3 linked regions of the Arabidopsis thaliana genome follow. The protein of the gene in region 1 interacts with the protein of each later gene in a biochemical or structural test. Each region holds a gene or a part of one and is shown in the gene's direction. Other genes may lie near its edges.

Evidence for each region.
Region 2: of the proteins of CKA1 (region 1) and LHY, one has a biochemical effect on the other in vitro, tested with the Arabidopsis thaliana proteins (one study listed by BioGRID).
Region 3: the proteins of CKA1 (region 1) and CCA1 form a complex in vitro, tested with the Arabidopsis thaliana proteins (one study listed by BioGRID).

Annotation. Positions count from the first base shown.
Region 1 is NC_003076.8:26,880,133-26,885,802, reverse strand, and holds CKA1 (casein kinase alpha 1), read left to right. Parts: upstream 1-1,723; 5' UTR 1,724-2,419; coding exon 2,420-2,733; intron 2,734-3,013; coding exon 3,014-3,143; intron 3,144-3,214; coding exon 3,215-3,409; intron 3,410-3,490; coding exon 3,491-3,648; intron 3,649-3,735; coding exon 3,736-3,826; intron 3,827-3,929; coding exon 3,930-3,995; intron 3,996-4,076; coding exon 4,077-4,159; intron 4,160-4,275; coding exon 4,276-4,339; intron 4,340-4,424; coding exon 4,425-4,493; intron 4,494-4,587; coding exon 4,588-4,647; 3' UTR 4,648-4,837; downstream 4,838-5,670. Other genes in the region: AT5G67385 (Phototropic-responsive NPH3 family protein), read right to left, coding at 104-718, 821-890, 994-1,049. UniProt on the Arabidopsis thaliana protein: Casein kinases are operationally defined by their preferential utilization of acidic proteins such as caseins as substrates. Phosphorylates casein in vitro. The alpha chain contains the catalytic site.
Region 2 is NC_003070.9:32,699-39,479, reverse strand, and holds LHY (Homeodomain-like superfamily protein), read left to right. Parts: upstream 1-1,722; 5' UTR 1,723-1,911; exon of another isoform or gene 1,912-2,081; 5' UTR 2,082-2,107; exon of another isoform or gene 2,108-2,276; 5' UTR 2,277-2,418; coding exon 2,419-2,457; intron 2,458-2,558; coding exon 2,559-2,670; intron 2,671-2,794; coding exon 2,795-2,856; intron 2,857-3,308; coding exon of another isoform or gene 3,309-3,390; intron 3,391-3,480; coding exon of another isoform or gene 3,481-3,516; coding exon 3,517-3,750; intron 3,751-3,832; coding exon 3,833-3,913; intron 3,914-4,005; coding exon 4,006-5,079; intron 5,080-5,152; coding exon 5,153-5,488; 3' UTR 5,489-5,499; exon of another isoform or gene 5,500-5,818; intron 5,819-5,890; 3' UTR 5,891-6,101; downstream 6,102-6,781. Other genes in the region: UMAMIT28 (nodulin MtN21 /EamA-like transporter family protein), read left to right, coding at 1-71, 193-344, 426-582. UniProt on the Arabidopsis thaliana protein: Transcription factor involved in the circadian clock. Binds to the promoter region of APRR1/TOC1 and TCP21/CHE to repress their transcription. Represses both CCA1 and itself.
Region 3 is NC_003071.7:19,243,554-19,249,457, forward strand, and holds CCA1 (circadian clock associated 1), read left to right. Parts: upstream 1-2,037; 5' UTR 2,038-2,319; intron 2,320-2,403; 5' UTR 2,404-2,451; coding exon 2,452-2,490; intron 2,491-2,569; coding exon 2,570-2,681; intron 2,682-2,769; coding exon 2,770-2,831; exon of another isoform or gene 2,832-3,198; intron 3,199-3,309; coding exon 3,310-3,504; intron 3,505-3,591; coding exon 3,592-3,765; intron 3,766-3,848; coding exon 3,849-4,730; intron 4,731-4,801; coding exon 4,802-5,164; 3' UTR 5,165-5,362; downstream 5,363-5,904. Other genes in the region: PSI-P (photosystem I P subunit), read left to right, coding at 176-332, 423-544, 632-718, 804-866, 1,125-1,162, 1,260-1,317; DUF4 (hypothetical protein (DOMAIN OF UNKNOWN FUNCTION 724 4)), read right to left, coding at 5,638-5,904. UniProt on the Arabidopsis thaliana protein: Transcription factor involved in the circadian clock and in the phytochrome regulation. Binds to the promoter regions of APRR1/TOC1 and TCP21/CHE to repress their transcription. Binds to the promoter regions of CAB2A and CAB2B to promote their transcription.

The DNA of each region.
Region 1 (5,670 bases):
AAACTTTTAACGGATACCCATCATTCTTTGTCCCTAGTTTATGGAACTTCAACAAAAGAAGAGACTCAACCAAAATGGTAATGTGTGTTTGTAAGAAACTCACCAACCCTCGAAGAGATTTCTGAGCATAGAGCATAAGCACTGGACCAAGTCCATACTGCTTAAACCCTCTAGCCATCATCGCGATCAGGACACGTTGAAACGAATCAATCCTAAGAACCGTTAAGTCTTCAGCCCACCAATCAACAACAGGCTGCTTGCTCTGCTGCTGAACCACAACCTCATTGTTACCGCTATTACTTGAAGAAGGACTGCAAAAATGGCTCTCTTGACAAGTCATATAAGCAATTGCATCGATGCAACGGCTTACAAGTTTGACTCTTTCAGCAATGGGCAACAACTTCTCTGATTTGTGCAAGACTGTGATCGAACTCGATAAGCTCTTGAGAGCTACTTCATTCAAGTAAGCTTCGGCTCTTACAACGAGATTTTCCACAGAGTGTTCCTCTGTCATCTCTAGATACTCCGCTGCACATCGCAACATGGCAATGTTCTCTGTGCTCATATCAAAGTTAATGCCGTAGCAGAACTTAGCCGCTAGCTCAAATGCTTCAGAGCCTCCTGGAATATCTGGTATCTTGATAACAGTGGAATCTGAATCTTTGCTTGATTCCGACACAAGTTTCTTGATAAACCCACATTTTGACATGAGTGGAAACTGCAAGATTCAGAGAGAAAACAACCGAATCGGCACGAATGTGATCATGTCATTGGCTTTACATCAGAGAGATTGATCGCTAAATACAGATCTATAATCTACCTTGTGCAGTGAAAACGAAGCTTCTCCTACATGAACGGTGACATCACTAGATACTTCTTGAGAAGAAATCCTGAAACGATGTAATAAAGAGTATTATAAACGATTTCTACTTCAGGACTGGAAACAAAAAATGGATTGAGAAACAAAATAATCTTATGAAGAGAATAAAAAACCATTCACTGGTTCTTTTCATAGCTGAGGACAAAAGATCTTTCTTCTTTGCTGACATATTACGAACACTTAGCTCGCAGTTTCTTTTCACTCAAGAAATTCACCATGGAACACTATTTCAAGTCCTTCTCATGAAGAAGACGTGCCGTAATGTACTACTAAAAGAGAGAGAATAAGATCAAGAAAATGAGCTTCTTCCTCTCTTTTGATAATTGTGACCAAACAGAAAAAGAGAACTCAAATTCTCCAAACAAAGAAAACCATAAACTACCCTTACCACCAAAAGCAATGAACAAGACAGAACAGGGTAGTTATGTCATTCTAATGGAGAGTACAAGATAGGGAGTCAGTCTAAGGAGGGAGTGTGTGTGGTAATGGATTGGTTTAAAAATTGAGAAGAGTCCAAGTGGATCAGACACACATCTTTGTACCAAACTAATAATTCCAAATTATAAAAAAGAGAGTATTGATTCCTCTCCACAAATGTATATATCCCTTACAAATATTAGCTATAAATTGGTTTAGTGGTAAGAAGAAGAGAAGGAAGGAGTATATAAGTAAGCTGCAGAATCTTGGTTTTGTGACAGAACATGAATGATGGGATATTTGTCCCTACAGAGAGTCTTATCATCTTTTTTTCTGATAATTGAAGTCACTATATGCCTCAACATTTTGATTGAGACTCTACTCAATCTTGCAATAAATTGTGTCTCTTGAATAATATAAGACGTCCTCAACGAAAAATTCAAAATTTTCAAATAATTGCAAACAATAAAAACAGAGGATGATACATGAATCTGAGTTTTTACCTCTAGTTGTTTTTCATGGCTTGGTCAGCTAAATGAGTAAAGACGACAGAATCTTCCCTCGAGTTCTCAACATTGGAATCAAAAATCAGTATTGTTAACCAATTCAACCCCTTCAAGATCAATAGCTTTTTGCAGTCTTCCACACTATACATTGAGCCTCTTCATCCATCAAATGCCTCAACTCCTAAAACAACCATAGCGTAATCTTCGCGTGTATCAACCAATTAGCTGTTACATTTGTCGGAGAACCCATTGATAGTGATAGGAGTCTGAACAATCTTTAAATGGCTTTGTCGCAGCCTCCTTGATGAATCGTGGGGACACAGATAGAAAGTTTCCACCTTTTACTTGCCCATTATTGCAGACTTTCTCGAGACTTAGCTCCATTATCACTGATCGAATCCTCGCTTAATGCAAATCCGAAATTTCAAAAGCTTCCCAAAAATAAGAACCCTAACATGTATATAAGCGGGTGGACTATTTGGGTCCAAATATATTGGGCCATAAATAAAGCCCATTATACTATGTCAGGCCTTTATGGCAAATTTAGTTGGCGCAAAAATAACGCAAACGAAAAAAGGAAAACAAAAAGTTAATCTGGTGCGGAAGAGCGTAGTGAATGATAGATACGCTTTTCTTCTTGTTCTTCCTCTTCTTCGATTCTCCTCTTCGACGTCTCTTGTTACTGTGCGCCGTCTTAGCCTTACGTGCGCCAACGGCGCACTCTCCTATCCTACGCTCATCTATCGTCACTCCCACAGCGAGAGCTGTCTCGGAAGTTTCCGGTTGTACTACGATCGATCCAGATTTTCTCGTAGAGATCTCTGATTCTAACCAGACGCGGGCGATGTCGAAAGCTCGTGTGTACACCGAAGTCAATGTGATTCGACCCAAGGATTATTGGGATTACGAGTCACTCATTGTTCAATGGGGGTAAGATTGTTAAACCCTAGAATTAGCTGAATTGGTAGTTGCTAAAGTAATTTAATCGATTTTTGTAGTGTTTGTATTGAATTTGAATTCAGCTTGCTCTGGATTTGCTTCTTGATGAAGCTAATCTAATCAAATTGATGCTGCTAATGTAAAAAACTTTACTTTTATCTCTATTGATGAATTTGATTTTTTAGTTGTGCTTATTTTGCCTTTTAGTTCTTCTATTGTAAAGCAATGATTTTTTAGTTTAACATTTTGATCTTGTTATTTGCTCTCTCAGGGAGCAAGATGATTATGAGGTAGTAAGGAAGGTAGGGCGTGGAAAATATAGTGAAGTTTTCGAGGGTATAAATGTGAACAGCAAGGAGAAGTGCATTATCAAAATCCTCAAACCTGTTAAGAAAAAGAAGGTGAATTGTTTTACATTGTTTTGGATGATTGGGGTTGTTTCTTGAATCTCTCTATGATCTTTTTTTCGTAGATAAGAAGAGAGATTAAAATACTTCAGAACCTATGCGGTGGGCCAAATATTGTCAAGCTGCTTGATGTTGTTAGAGATCAACATTCGAAAACTCCAAGCTTGATATTTGAATATGTTAACAGCACAGACTTTAAAGTTTTGTATCCTACGTTGACTGATTACGACATTCGTTACTACATCTATGAGCTGTTGAAGGTATAAATTCTGGTATTGGTTGGATTATATAAGTATTCCATTTGACTTCATACTCACATTTGGTAAGACTACTTGTTGCAGGCACTAGACTTCTGCCATTCACAAGGAATAATGCACAGAGACGTCAAGCCTCATAATGTTATGATTGACCATGAGCTGCGTAAGCTTCGTCTTATAGATTGGGGTCTTGCTGAGTTTTACCACCCTGGAAAAGAGTATAATGTCCGTGTTGCCTCAAGGTATGGTTTTACTTCATACCCTTTATTTTATTTTTTTCGCTGTTGCCTAGCTTCACTCTAATGTTTATCTCTCCTAATGTGTATCAGATATTTCAAGGGACCTGAACTTCTTGTGGACTTGCAAGACTATGACTATTCATTGGATATGTGGAGTCTTGGCTGTATGTTTGCAGGGATGGTAAGTTCATGATATAACATTTGAACGGCTTTCCTTTCTTTTCTGAGAAATGAACTTGTGGTGATCTAATTTTGACCTAATTTTTCCTCATTACCCATATTAGATATTCCGTAAGGAACCTTTCTTCTACGGCCATGACAACCAGGATCAGCTAGTGAAAATCGCCAAGGTATATTACTTGTAATTCAGTATTAGAATATGGGAGATCTCCGTTCCATTGTCGTCATGAACTCTCCTTCTTATTCACCAGGTGCTTGGGACTGACGAATTGAATGCTTATCTGAACAAGTACCAGTTAGAACTTGATCCACAACTGGAAGCACTTGTTGGGCGGTATGTGAAACTTAAACATTATATTGTAATCTCCGAGCTTGGCATTGCCATGTAATGAGCTGAAGCTGAGAATTAGTGTTGTATCATTCTCTGGTTCAATGGAACACAACCTACAGGCATAGCAGGAAACCTTGGTCCAAATTCATCAACGCAGACAATCAGCACTTAGTTTCACCCGAGGTTTACTCCTTTCCTTGAGTCCTTAACTCCTTGTATAGAAAATGGTTTAGTTGGGTTCTTAAGGGTTTTGTTTAAAACGGTGTAGGCGATTGATTTCCTCGACAAGCTACTTCGGTATGATCATCAAGACAGATTAACTGCAAAAGAAGCCATGGTACGCATGCTTCAGAAAACAAATTAGAAGCCTTTGTATTTGTATATAAATCACATATTAGGTAAATTAATATGGTTTGTTGATTTGTTGACAGGCGCACGCTTACTTCGCCCAAGTTAGGGCAGCAGAAACCAGCAGAATGAGAAGTCAATGAAACACAGAGATCTCTCTGTCTATAAACTTACTGATGATGATGATGGTAATGTTCATCTTTTCTTCAAAGTATTTTTTTTAAATCAAGGTGATGTTTCTTCTGTCCAACTTATTAAACAATTTGTCCTGAATTCGAATGTCTGAAACGTCTTATATTTTAAATATATTTTTCATGTATGTTGTATCAAACCAAAAAAAAAAAAACAGAATTACAATAAAACAAAAAAACGTACTAGTTTTATTTAATTATTTTTAATGTTTTTCTGCTCATTCGTATTACTACTATCGCAATTGTTTTTACCAAAATAAACAAAAAACGTACTAATATTATTTAACTATTTTTTGAATATTTAAATGATTTTATAAGAAAATATTTTTTCATTATTAAAATAAAATTAGAATCTTTTACATTAAAGTACCAGTAATTTTGGAAAATAAATTTCCATGTTTAATAATACGTTAATTAAAACCTTAATTAAATAAAAACTTTGGTTTGTATTTTCGTTAATGAAATCTTTGTTTTATATTTTCGTTGCCATAATGAATTCTTTTTTTTATTTTTCAAAGACATTGTACAATATATCGAATAAGATACTTAAATAAATTTGTATCTAAACTTATTCGATATCTTTTAAGAAATAAAGAGTGAAGAAAATTAAAGTTAGTTAAGAAATAAAAATGTTGATTATGTTGCAAATTCATAAAGAGAAAAAAAAATCAATCAAAATTAAAGTGGTTTGTTAAAAACTAAAATTAGTCTAGTTGACGAAGATGAATTTGTTAGTTACTTTAGTGTTAAAAAAAATTGCGATAGTAATACGAATGAGCAGAAAAACATTAAAAATGAAAACGACAAGAAATATGTAAAATGGGCCTAACTTCCTAGGCCTGAAAACGAAAAGGCCGTAAGGTAATTAGTAAGCCCACATTAGAAGACAATTTGTATGGTAAATAATTAACTATTCATTGGAAAATAAATAACCACTTGCACTATAAGCGAGTTATCACCACGCGCCACAAATCT
Region 2 (6,781 bases), on another chromosome or scaffold:
TTTACAAGAGCAGAGACGTTAATGATTGGATCATAGATGATAGATTCGTTATCACCGTCATCATATACGCTGTAAGTTACAAACATCATATCTTTATAAATTAACTTTTTAAAAATTATAAGATTAGTATGTAAGAACTTAAGATATTAATGTGGGTTTTTTTATGTGGTTTTTTTTTATCATATATTATAGGGAGTGGTAGGACAAGCAATGACGACGGTTGCAACAACATGGGGGATTAAAAAATTAGGAGCTGTGTTCGCATCGGCGTTTTTCCCACTTACTCTCATTTCGGCTACTCTATTTGATTTCCTCATTTTACACACTCCTTTATACCTTGGAAGGTATCTTCTTCGATAATCTCTATCAAATTAATTTTGTCTAGGCATAACACTAATTACAACATTAAAACTTTTGGTCTACAGTGTGATTGGATCACTAGTGACCATAACGGGTCTCTACATGTTCTTGTGGGGGAAGAACAAAGAAACGGAATCATCAACTGCATTGTCTTCAGGAATGGATAACGAAGCTCAATATACTACTCCTAATAAGGATAACGACTCTAAGTCGCCCGTTTAATTTAATTATATTGTTGTTAATGTATGTTTCAAATAACTGTTATGTCCTAGTTAATGTTTAAGGAGAGGTAATGAGAGATAAAATTTTATAATTCCAAACATCAACGTAGAGATTTGTGAAATATTTAAATCCGGTTTGTTTGGTTATTTTGGAATAATTTCGGTTATTTCAATTAGATTCGGGTAGTTCAGTTCTTCGGTTAGTAACAAAAACTGGTCTATTGTTTTTTGGTTAACCTAGAACCGAACCGAACTAACCAAAGTTCTCGGTAACCTTTTGTAGTGGCTTCCTGACCGATGAGGCCGTCAACTTCAAAAAATATTGCAACTAAGCTCTGCTCCAACATTAGAGTATCTATAACTATGTTAAACGCTTCTGCTTTAAGCAAAACACAGTTGTAAGCTGGAATCTAAAAAAATGAGTGTAATGATGTTTGCTGAATTCCATAAATAAATACTACATGCTTCGGTTAAGACTTAAGAGTAATTAATGTTCCTTAATTTCTACAAATGTTATATAAGCAAGTTGACCAAAGTTCTCGATGATAATTTGTTGAAATTTTGTATAGGCATTGCATGATATTATATGAAAAGATGAAGATTTTTATACAGACGCAAGTTCCCCGAGCAGTCCAAGCTTGTCGGGTTTAATTCAACTATGTTAATACGCAAATTTATATAGAATAGGCGTAAAAGTGAGGCCCATACAATGTCTTATTACAAGCCCAGATCCAGCATAGCCAATACGTAGCAGTACACCATCACAGCTGGCACCGTACCCACTTGTTTAGTCGTCCAAGTTTGTACCAATAATCGTTTACACGTAAGCAATTGTGGACCACCACACTCACTTTTACCTACGTGAGCTTCACATTGAAGCTTCTGGCTCGTAGAGAAGCAACTTGAGATATACCAAAAAGTGCAGTAGACAGCCACTACAATATCACCACGTGTCGATCTGCGATGACTTCTGTTTTTTCCATTTATACCCTTGGTGCTGTTCCAGCCTCAAATAAACTTTTCAATTAAAATTTTTCCAAAAATTAGGGGAAAAATTGTTGTGGCTGAGATTGCTTCTGGCTTCTCTTCTTCTTCTTCCAGTCTTCTTCAGCCTAAAACAGTCTTCCTTCTTCTTCTTCTTCTTCTTCTTCTTCTTCTTCTTCAGTTATCTTCTTCCTTCTTCTCTCTGTTTTTTAAATTTATTTTTAGAGATTTTTTTTTGTTTTGCTTCCGATTTGATTATTTCCGGGAACGATGACTTCTCCGGGGAGTTCCCGGTGAGATGATAAGTCAGATTGCATACTTGTCTCCTCCATGGCTACTCTCAAGGGTATAACAGTTTACATTATGAGCAGTTTCTAGGATTCCTATAACATACTAAGATCTCTGTTTGGCTGCTGAGAAACTTATAGAAGCGATTAACTAAATCTTATTAGCTCTAAAAGTTAGCATAAATGATACGAATCTGGTGATTGATTACTGATATGAAGATTTGTGAAGGTTTTGGCTGCGGTGGATTCGTTTGGGTGAGGCTTTTGTGAATAATAATAAAGGGAATTCTTTTGAGTTCTGCTGGAGAAGCAGCGACTGTTTCACGGTGGACTTTGAAAAGATTTCTCTTTTGAATTTCGCTCATCACTCTTATCTTAGTGTTTGTGGATAAATATTTCTCATAAAGTACTTTCTCCTTTGCAGTTTCTCTAGAATCTAAAGAGGTTATCACAACGGCTTTGCAATTTGAAAACTTTCATGTTTGGGGAGATCAAAGATGGTTTCTTTTTTATACTTTACTTGTTAGAGAGGATTTGAAGCAGCGAATAGCTGCACCGGTCCTGTTATGGATACTAATACATCTGGAGAAGAATTATTAGCTAAGGTACTACTACTAATGAAATAAGATTGGTGTTTTTTTGTTTGAGAGATTTGGACTGTTGTTGTGTGAAGATTTGATTTTCTTTTGGGTTTTCAAATGTTTAGGCAAGAAAGCCATATACAATAACAAAGCAGCGAGAGCGATGGACTGAGGATGAGCATGAGAGGTTTCTAGAAGCCTTGAGGCTTTATGGAAGAGCTTGGCAACGAATTGAAGGTCGAAAGTTTATCTTTTGAATGTTTAGTTTGAACTCTTTGAGATTTTATATTCCTTTGTTTAGGAGTGTCTTTATCTCCTCTTGATTGGGAGATTCCTTCTTTTCTTTTCATTTTGTGTGCAGAACATATTGGGACAAAGACTGCTGTTCAGATCAGAAGTCATGCACAAAAGTTCTTCACAAAGGTAAGTTGATGATCCTTTCAGATCTTTTTAAAACACTTTCGTTATCTTGTGTAAAGGTACCATTTTTTCATATCGATCTATGACTATGTTTAGAAGTTGCCTGTCACTGTCTGGAAAAGATGATAGAAGGTTCTTCTTATTCTTCCTTTTCTCTAATTGCTTCAACTAGAAATTAGGCGTCTAAGTAGAGTGTGTTTTGCTAAGTAGAGTTGGTTGGTTCCGAGGATTGCATCTCGATCGTTTTTTATCTTTTTCATTTACTCTGTTCAACTAAACTTAACATTAGATTGGTCTGTCCAAACTTACTGTTAGAAAAAACTCTACAGAGAGCTTTCTTCTCTGAGACCATAAGATAGGTCCAAATTAACATAACTAGCGTTGCATTTGGATGACACAATTGTCCCATATTCACTAAAGTCGATGAAATAATGGGATTGCATGAATTCTTTTAGCCATCCATATGGAAACCAAACCTCCTTGCCCTATAGGACAGGACATGAAGTAACTCTATCATCTCTACCCCGAAAAATTCGGGTCAGTATAAGACTTTTTTCAACCTTGGTGATGTGGTCAATTTCATGAATCTCAGGATTTCACATCTGAGCTGCATTTTTCCATCTCCAGTTTGGAAAAGCTCACAGTTTTTGGTTCACATTTCAGTTGGAGAAAGAGGCTGAAGTTAAAGGCATCCCTGTTTGCCAAGCTTTGGACATAGAAATTCCGCCTCCTCGTCCTAAACGAAAACCCAATACTCCTTATCCTCGAAAGCCTGGGAACAACGGTACATCTTCCTCTCAAGTATCATCAGCAAAAGATGCAAAACTTGTTTCATCGGCCTCTTCTTCACAGTTGAATCAGGCGTTCTTGGATTTGGAAAAAATGCCGTTCTCTGAGGTTTATTCCTGATCTTTCTCTTCTTCATTTTATCATTTTGGTGGTCTTGTGATAGACTTCTTATGTTTTATTTTCTGGTTAGAAAACATCAACTGGAAAAGAAAATCAAGATGAGAATTGCTCGGGTGTTTCTACTGTGAACAAGTATCCCTTACCAACGAAAGTAAGTCTAAGAAAGCTACAAAATTGTAGTCGAAGAATCTGATGAATGCTTTCAAGTGCATGACAAATTATTTGTTCCATTCTGATTTTTAGCAGGTAAGTGGCGACATTGAAACAAGTAAGACCTCAACTGTGGACAACGCGGTTCAAGATGTTCCCAAGAAGAACAAAGACAAAGATGGTAACGATGGTACTACTGTGCACAGCATGCAAAACTACCCTTGGCATTTCCACGCAGATATTGTGAACGGGAATATAGCAAAATGCCCTCAAAATCATCCCTCAGGTATGGTATCTCAAGACTTCATGTTTCATCCTATGAGAGAAGAAACTCACGGGCACGCAAATCTTCAAGCTACAACAGCATCTGCTACTACTACAGCTTCTCATCAAGCGTTTCCAGCTTGTCATTCACAGGATGATTACCGTTCGTTTCTCCAGATATCATCTACTTTCTCCAATCTTATTATGTCAACTCTCCTACAGAATCCTGCAGCTCATGCTGCAGCTACATTCGCTGCTTCGGTCTGGCCTTATGCGAGTGTCGGGAATTCTGGTGATTCATCAACCCCAATGAGCTCTTCTCCTCCAAGTATAACTGCCATTGCCGCTGCTACAGTAGCTGCTGCAACTGCTTGGTGGGCTTCTCATGGACTTCTTCCTGTATGCGCTCCAGCTCCAATAACATGTGTTCCATTCTCAACTGTTGCAGTTCCAACTCCAGCAATGACTGAAATGGATACCGTTGAAAATACTCAACCGTTTGAGAAACAAAACACAGCTCTGCAAGATCAAAACTTGGCTTCGAAATCTCCAGCTTCATCATCTGATGATTCAGATGAGACTGGAGTAACCAAGCTAAATGCCGACTCAAAAACCAATGATGATAAAATTGAGGAGGTTGTTGTTACTGCCGCTGTGCATGACTCAAACACTGCCCAGAAGAAAAATCTTGTGGACCGCTCATCCTGTGGCTCAAATACACCTTCAGGGAGTGACGCAGAAACTGATGCATTAGATAAAATGGAGAAAGATAAAGAGGATGTGAAGGAGACAGATGAGAATCAGCCAGATGTTATTGAGTTAAATAACCGTAAGATTAAAATGAGAGACAACAACAGCAACAACAATGCAACTACTGATTCGTGGAAGGAAGTCTCCGAAGAGGTAAAACAAAAACCAATGATTCATGGATATTGCAGAGTTCTTCTGGGAACTAACACTATCAAAATATTTTCAGGGTCGTATAGCGTTTCAGGCTCTCTTTGCAAGAGAAAGATTGCCTCAAAGCTTTTCGCCTCCTCAAGTGGCAGAGAATGTGAATAGAAAACAAAGTGACACGTCAATGCCATTGGCTCCTAATTTCAAAAGCCAGGATTCTTGTGCTGCAGACCAAGAAGGAGTAGTAATGATCGGTGTTGGAACATGCAAGAGTCTTAAAACGAGACAGACAGGATTTAAGCCATACAAGAGATGTTCAATGGAAGTGAAAGAGAGCCAAGTTGGGAACATAAACAATCAAAGTGATGAAAAAGTCTGCAAAAGGCTTCGATTGGAAGGAGAAGCTTCTACATGACAGACTTGGAGGTAAAAAAAAAACATCCACATTTTTATCAATATCTTTAAATCTAGTGTTAGTAGTTTGCTTCTCCAATCTTTATGAAAGAGACTTTTAATTTTCCTTCCGAACATTTCTTTGGTCATGTCAGGTTCTGTACCATATTACCCCATGTCTTGTCTCTTGTCTCTGTTTGTGTATGCTACTTGTGGTCTATATGTCATCTGCTACTACTGTTAATTAACCATTAAGCAATGGATTTGTCTTTATTCTTCTTTTTAAAAATTGTGGATATTGATTGATGAGATCATAAATAGTTTATAATGATAAAAGATGAACTGTACAAAAGTTACAACTTAGAAAGTTTTGTCTTTTGGTGTTTCTTCATAATGATTCTCTCTGTTTGTTTCAAACTTGAAGGCGCTCGTTGCCCAACGCCAAATGCCCAAAGGTGCTAGGCTGGGCCTTAAAGATTTTACTCACACTACTTGGGCCTACATTACAACATTTTCCCTATTACAAGCTTAAGTAATAGAGGCCTAAAGAAGGCTTATATTGTGTAGCTAGTTTATACAATATTTCAATCTCTTAATTTGGTTTACTGATGAATGAGTAGATATACAATTTTTTTGTTCTCACTGAATGAGCCATATCCTTGCTACCAAACCAAATTATTTGTGAAAAATGTAATGCAAGTATCCTACATAGATTATAGGAGTGACCGCAAAAACACAAACTATGTTTCGTAATAAAAAATAAAGTATTTTTAAAAAGATGTAAATCTTTGTAAATAATTGAGTGGTAGTGTAGTGAGTGTTACGATAATATAAAAGTTTGATCCGTATATCTCGGTGGTGACTCATATATACATTTTACAATCACTTGCTAGACCAACGGGCTTCACTTGTTTCTCTCCCAAAGTTTCTTCATCATCCTTGCGATAAAGAAAACAACAATCGGCTGTTTCGTTTCGATCCAAAGGTACGTTTTTTTTTCTTTTGTCATCGTTCTAAGATCATCAAAGTTTGATGCTTTTCCATGTTTAATCTTCTGGGTATTTTGTTGCTTCAAATCTCAATCATCCATCGAGTCTATAGAGAAAAAGTGAACAGATTTGGTATACATCTTTTCAGTAATCGATACGTTAACAATATATGAATCCATAATTTGGGTATGATCGATCTCAAGTCTGCTTTAAGGATTGTTTTCCCTTGTGGGGTCTTGATTCGCTTTTTCCATTTAATACTCTTGATTCGATTGATTCTCTCTCTGCCAATTAGGGTTATGATGTTAGATTCAGTCAATATCAAT
Region 3 (5,904 bases), on another chromosome or scaffold:
GAAACCCAAAACGAGTGGTCGAATAGTTTCCGACTGGTAACAGAGAAAGCATCTCCACAATCCCCAAAATTCTTTCAACACTTGCTCTCCATTAATCTTTTAGATAATAAACCTAATTGTTTCTGTTTTGTTTTTGTTTCTGTGAGATTCTTCCGAGGCTTGAAGCTCAATAGCTATGGCTTCTCTTTCAGTCTCTTCCTCTTCAACCATCATCGATTCAAGAGCTCCTCCTTCTCGACTAGCCTCCGCCTCCGCCTCTTCTCCGTCGTGCATTTCACTTCCCACACTTCCGATTCAGTCTCATACCCGTGCCGCTAAAGCCACTGCTTACTGTTCGTTTTCCATAAATCTGAAGATTTTTCTTTTCACTTTTAATTTCGAGTTTAAAGTTTCAAACTTTCGAAATGGGTTTTGGTTTTTAGGTCGGAAGATTGTGAGGAACGTTGTGACGAGAGCTACTACTGAAGTTGGTGAAGCTCCTGCCACTACTACCGAAGCTGAGACTACTGAGTTACCTGAAATCGTCAAGACTGCTCAAGAAGCTGTAAATACTCTTACTTTATTTATACAATGATGATTCTACCTCTTGCTTCTGGGTTACATGTACTGAATTTGGTTGTTTGGATTGAAGTGGGAGAAAGTGGATGACAAGTACGCTATTGGTTCTCTTGCCTTTGCTGGTGTAGTGGCTCTTTGGGGTTCTGCTGGAATGATTTCGGTGAGTAGAAGAATACTACTTTCTTCTTAAAACCCTAGTGTTAAATTTCCTTTATTTGATTCCAAAATTTGTTATTGTGAAACAGGCAATCGATAGGCTTCCATTGGTTCCTGGTGTTCTTGAACTTGTAGGCATCGGTTACACAGGAGTGAGTTTCTTCTTCTCTTTGTATCACTTGAACCAAAGCTCTCATGAACCTGTTTTGAGGATATAGATGATTCATCACTTCACTTTTGGATTTAGGATTAGTTCTCTGAATTTAGAATCCGAACATCTGCAATTCATATGGAGATATGATATCAGAAATTGATTGCTGCTTCTCGCTAGTGTTTCAATCTTAAAAGACGTGTGTAGTTTGTTTCAATTGTGTGATGGACCTTATTAACATTTGGTTTTTCTATGGCAGTGGTTCACTTACAAGAACCTGGTCTTCAAACCAGACAGGTTAACCAATTCTCTCTTTAACTCTGTGTTTGGTTGCATGTAATACTGAGAATGGAAGACTCAAATTCTCGAGGAAATTGTTTGTTATCTGTTTCAGGGAGGCTTTGTTTGAGAAGGTCAAGAGCACATACAAAGACATATTAGGGAGCAGCTGAATCAAAGGAGGAAGAAGAAGAAGAAGAGCCTTTTTGAGGCCATTCATGAATTGGAATGAAGGATATCAAAAGAATCTAACACAAAGGCCACGTCCTTCCTTCAATCTTTCCTTCTTGTAACTAAATAATTTTCATCCTTTCTCTCTCTCTGTCTCTGGTCTTTTTTAGCTCAAAGTATCATCCATTTATGTCAAAGTGTTGTAAATTCCTCAAGACTATATATGAGATGTTTTGTTTCATTTTCCAAAATTTCAAACTTTGTCCCCATTTAGTCTTCTACCCTTCATGCATGGTTAGCTTAGCTTAATGCTGAACTGTTGAATAACGATATGGGCCTTATGCTAAAAGAACAAAACCTTATGGGTCTAAAAAAAATAAGCCCAATATAAAACTATGGCCCAAATAAGTTTAGGTCCATTAGAGTGTGAGAATAGCGCGTGTAGTGAACCGCACGAGAATGCGCGTTCGATTGTTGGTGAAGTAGTCGTCTAGATTCCCGGGTCCACTGATGTTTCTAGTGTATCAGACACGTGTCGACAAACTGGTGGGAGAGATTAACGATCTTAAGTAGGTCCCACTAGATCAAGATATTATAACGAATTGACCTTTTTAACCTTTCAGGTAGTCCCGGAACTCGTGGCCTAGAATACAAAGAAGGTTGTGAACAAGTTGATGTTAAGATGGACAAGAATGTAACTTGAACAAAAGCTGAATCATCTCTTCAGCCACTAGTATGTTGACATATGGCAGTTTCTTTTGTAGCCTCGAAATAAATAAATTAAAAAGTTTGAGGTTAAAGATAATTATAGTGGCTGAGATTTCTCCATTTCCGTAGCTTCTGGTCTCTTTTCTTTGTTTCATTGATCAAAAGCAAATCACTTCTTCTTCTTCTTCTTCTCGATTTCTTACTGTTTTCTTATCCAACGAAATCTGGAATTAAAAATGGAATCTTTATCGAATCCAAGCTGATTTTGTTTCTTTCATTGAATCATCTCTCTAAAGGTACTTAAGATTGATTTATTGTCATGGTCTTTCTTATTGTTTGATGAATAACTTGACTTGATTGTTTTTTGTTTTGTGGATTAGTGGAATTTTGTAAAGAGAAGATCTGAAGTTGTGTAGAGGAGCTTAGTGATGGAGACAAATTCGTCTGGAGAAGATCTGGTTATTAAGGTAAATTAAACTAAATTTTAGGGGGAAGATGATTGTTTTAGGTGTCAAAGATTGAGAATTTTAATGAAACTTGATATAGACTCGGAAGCCATATACGATAACAAAGCAACGTGAAAGGTGGACTGAGGAAGAACATAATAGATTCATTGAAGCTTTGAGGCTTTATGGTAGAGCATGGCAGAAGATTGAAGGTTGATTTTTATTTCCCTTTATATGTCTTATTTTTTGTGTTTGCAGAGGTTTGTCTTCAAACTGATTTGCTTTTTTTCATTTGGACAGAACATGTAGCAACAAAAACTGCTGTCCAGATAAGAAGTCACGCTCAGAAATTTTTCTCCAAGGTAAAATCGGTTAATTTTGAAATGATGTTCTCATCTTCATTGGCTTAATGCTTAAGACTTATTGAAAGCCAGGCAAGTTTTCTGCTTCTTTTGCTTCTTAGTCAGGAGATAGATAGATTACGTTTTTAGAGTTTAGTAATGAGCAATAAGTCTTAAAATAGTTGGAGAAATGACGAGATGTAATCGTTTTCTTTTGTTTATGCCTATATCTTGTTAATCCACAAACATGTACATAGATTCTTCAGAAGAATGTTAGTTTCTTTAGATTCTTCAGATAAACTTGTGTCTTCTTACCGATTCTGAGGTAGTGGCAAAAGTGGGCTGAGTGCTAGAAATTTTTGAATGTTCCTTGTGATAAGCCATAGAGGTAAACCATTTTTGATTTTCCAGTTCTGTCATTTAAACTTGTTAGTGTCATTAGATTTTTGTTTGTTTACGTTTGTTTAGAGGGTAACAAAACTACTCTCATCTCTCTCAGGTAGAGAAAGAGGCTGAAGCTAAAGGTGTAGCTATGGGTCAAGCGCTAGACATAGCTATTCCTCCTCCACGGCCTAAGCGTAAACCAAACAATCCTTATCCTCGAAAGACGGGAAGTGGAACGATCCTTATGTCAAAAACGGGTGTGAATGATGGAAAAGAGTCCCTTGGATCAGAAAAAGTGTCGCATCCTGAGGTGATTTTCATGGTCATATGGCATCTTTTTGCAGTGTGTCACATTGCTCCTCATGTTATTAATACAGATTGTGTGCTTCGTTTATAGATGGCCAATGAAGATCGACAACAATCAAAGCCTGAAGAGAAAACTCTGCAGGAAGACAACTGTTCAGATTGTTTCACTCATCAGTATCTCTCTGCTGCATCCTCCATGAATAAAAGTTGTATAGAGACATCAAACGCAAGCACTTTCCGCGAGTTCTTGCCTTCACGGGAAGAGGTAAAAAACAATCTTTCATTGCTATTTGAGGTTTTAAGACGATTAGTACTTTTCATGAAACTAAAACCGTGGGGGAATAACAGGGAAGTCAGAATAACAGGGTAAGAAAGGAGTCAAACTCAGATTTGAATGCAAAATCTCTGGAAAACGGTAATGAGCAAGGACCTCAGACTTATCCGATGCATATCCCTGTGCTAGTGCCATTGGGGAGCTCAATAACAAGTTCTCTATCACATCCTCCTTCAGAGCCAGATAGTCATCCCCACACAGTTGCAGGAGATTATCAGTCGTTTCCTAATCATATAATGTCAACCCTTTTACAAACACCGGCTCTTTATACTGCCGCAACTTTCGCCTCATCATTTTGGCCTCCCGATTCTAGTGGTGGCTCACCTGTTCCAGGGAACTCACCTCCGAATCTGGCTGCCATGGCCGCAGCCACTGTTGCAGCTGCTAGTGCTTGGTGGGCTGCCAATGGATTATTACCTTTATGTGCTCCTCTTAGTTCAGGTGGTTTCACTAGTCATCCTCCATCTACTTTTGGACCATCATGTGATGTAGAGTACACAAAAGCAAGCACTTTACAACATGGTTCTGTGCAGAGCCGAGAGCAAGAACACTCCGAGGCATCAAAGGCTCGATCTTCACTGGACTCAGAGGATGTTGAAAATAAGAGTAAACCAGTTTGTCATGAGCAGCCTTCTGCAACACCTGAGAGTGATGCAAAGGGTTCAGATGGAGCAGGAGACAGAAAACAAGTTGACCGGTCCTCGTGTGGCTCAAACACTCCGTCGAGTAGTGATGATGTTGAGGCGGATGCATCAGAAAGGCAAGAGGATGGCACCAATGGTGAGGTGAAAGAAACGAATGAAGACACTAATAAACCTCAAACTTCAGAGTCCAATGCACGCCGCAGTAGAATCAGCTCCAATATAACCGATCCATGGAAGTCTGTGTCTGACGAGGTACTTACTTGGACTAAAGATCAACTTCCTTTATTTCAAATCATTTTCTCATATAAATATTGTACATTCAGGGTCGAATTGCCTTCCAAGCTCTCTTCTCCAGAGAGGTATTGCCGCAAAGTTTTACATATCGAGAAGAACACAGAGAGGAAGAACAACAACAACAAGAACAAAGATATCCAATGGCACTTGATCTTAACTTCACAGCTCAGTTAACACCAGTTGATGATCAAGAGGAGAAGAGAAACACAGGATTTCTTGGAATCGGATTAGATGCTTCAAAGCTAATGAGTAGAGGAAGAACAGGTTTTAAACCATACAAAAGATGTTCCATGGAAGCCAAAGAAAGTAGAATCCTCAACAACAATCCTATCATTCATGTGGAACAGAAAGATCCCAAACGGATGCGGTTGGAAACTCAAGCTTCCACATGAGACTCTATTTTCATCTGATCTGTTGTTTGTACTCTGTTTTTAAGTTTTCAAGACCACTGCTACATTTTCTTTTTCTTTTGAGGCCTTTGTATTTGTTTCCTTGTCCATAGTCTTCCTGTAACATTTGACTCTGTATTATTCAACAAATCATAAACTGTTTAATCTTTTTTTTTCCAACCTGGAAAGAACTTCACTCAAGGGGCTCTTGTTCTTGATATATGCAAACGACAGAGTTCCAAAACGTAATCTTAGCCCATCCATCACCCTTAAGTTGTCTCATAACTCATAAGTAAGCACAAAAGCACCACACAAATAAGCAAACTCTACTTCCTTATGTCATCACATAAATAGAAAGGCAAGCAGCCAAAGGCAAGCAGTAGCAAGTACAACAGAGTTGTTACAAAAAAGGATTAAATAAAAACAGAAGTTATAAGGATAAATCCAACCACACCCATGAAATGACCCCATATCTTTTATTTGGCCGTCTCCTTGTCTTCAAAGCTGCTTTTGCACCTCACCAGACTCTTTTTCAGCTTGCTATAATCATCTGCCATCTCTTTCTCCATCCCTTTTTGTTGTCTGAGGGATTCACGTCTCATCTTGCGGAGAACTAACAGCGTGAGGACCTGTGATAAAGGTTCTGCAACGTCGAAACCCTGCTCCTCGAACATTTTAAATGTCTCTCTGTAGACATCTAGTTCACTTTTTGGAGTGTCCTCACACATACCATCTACTGTCTT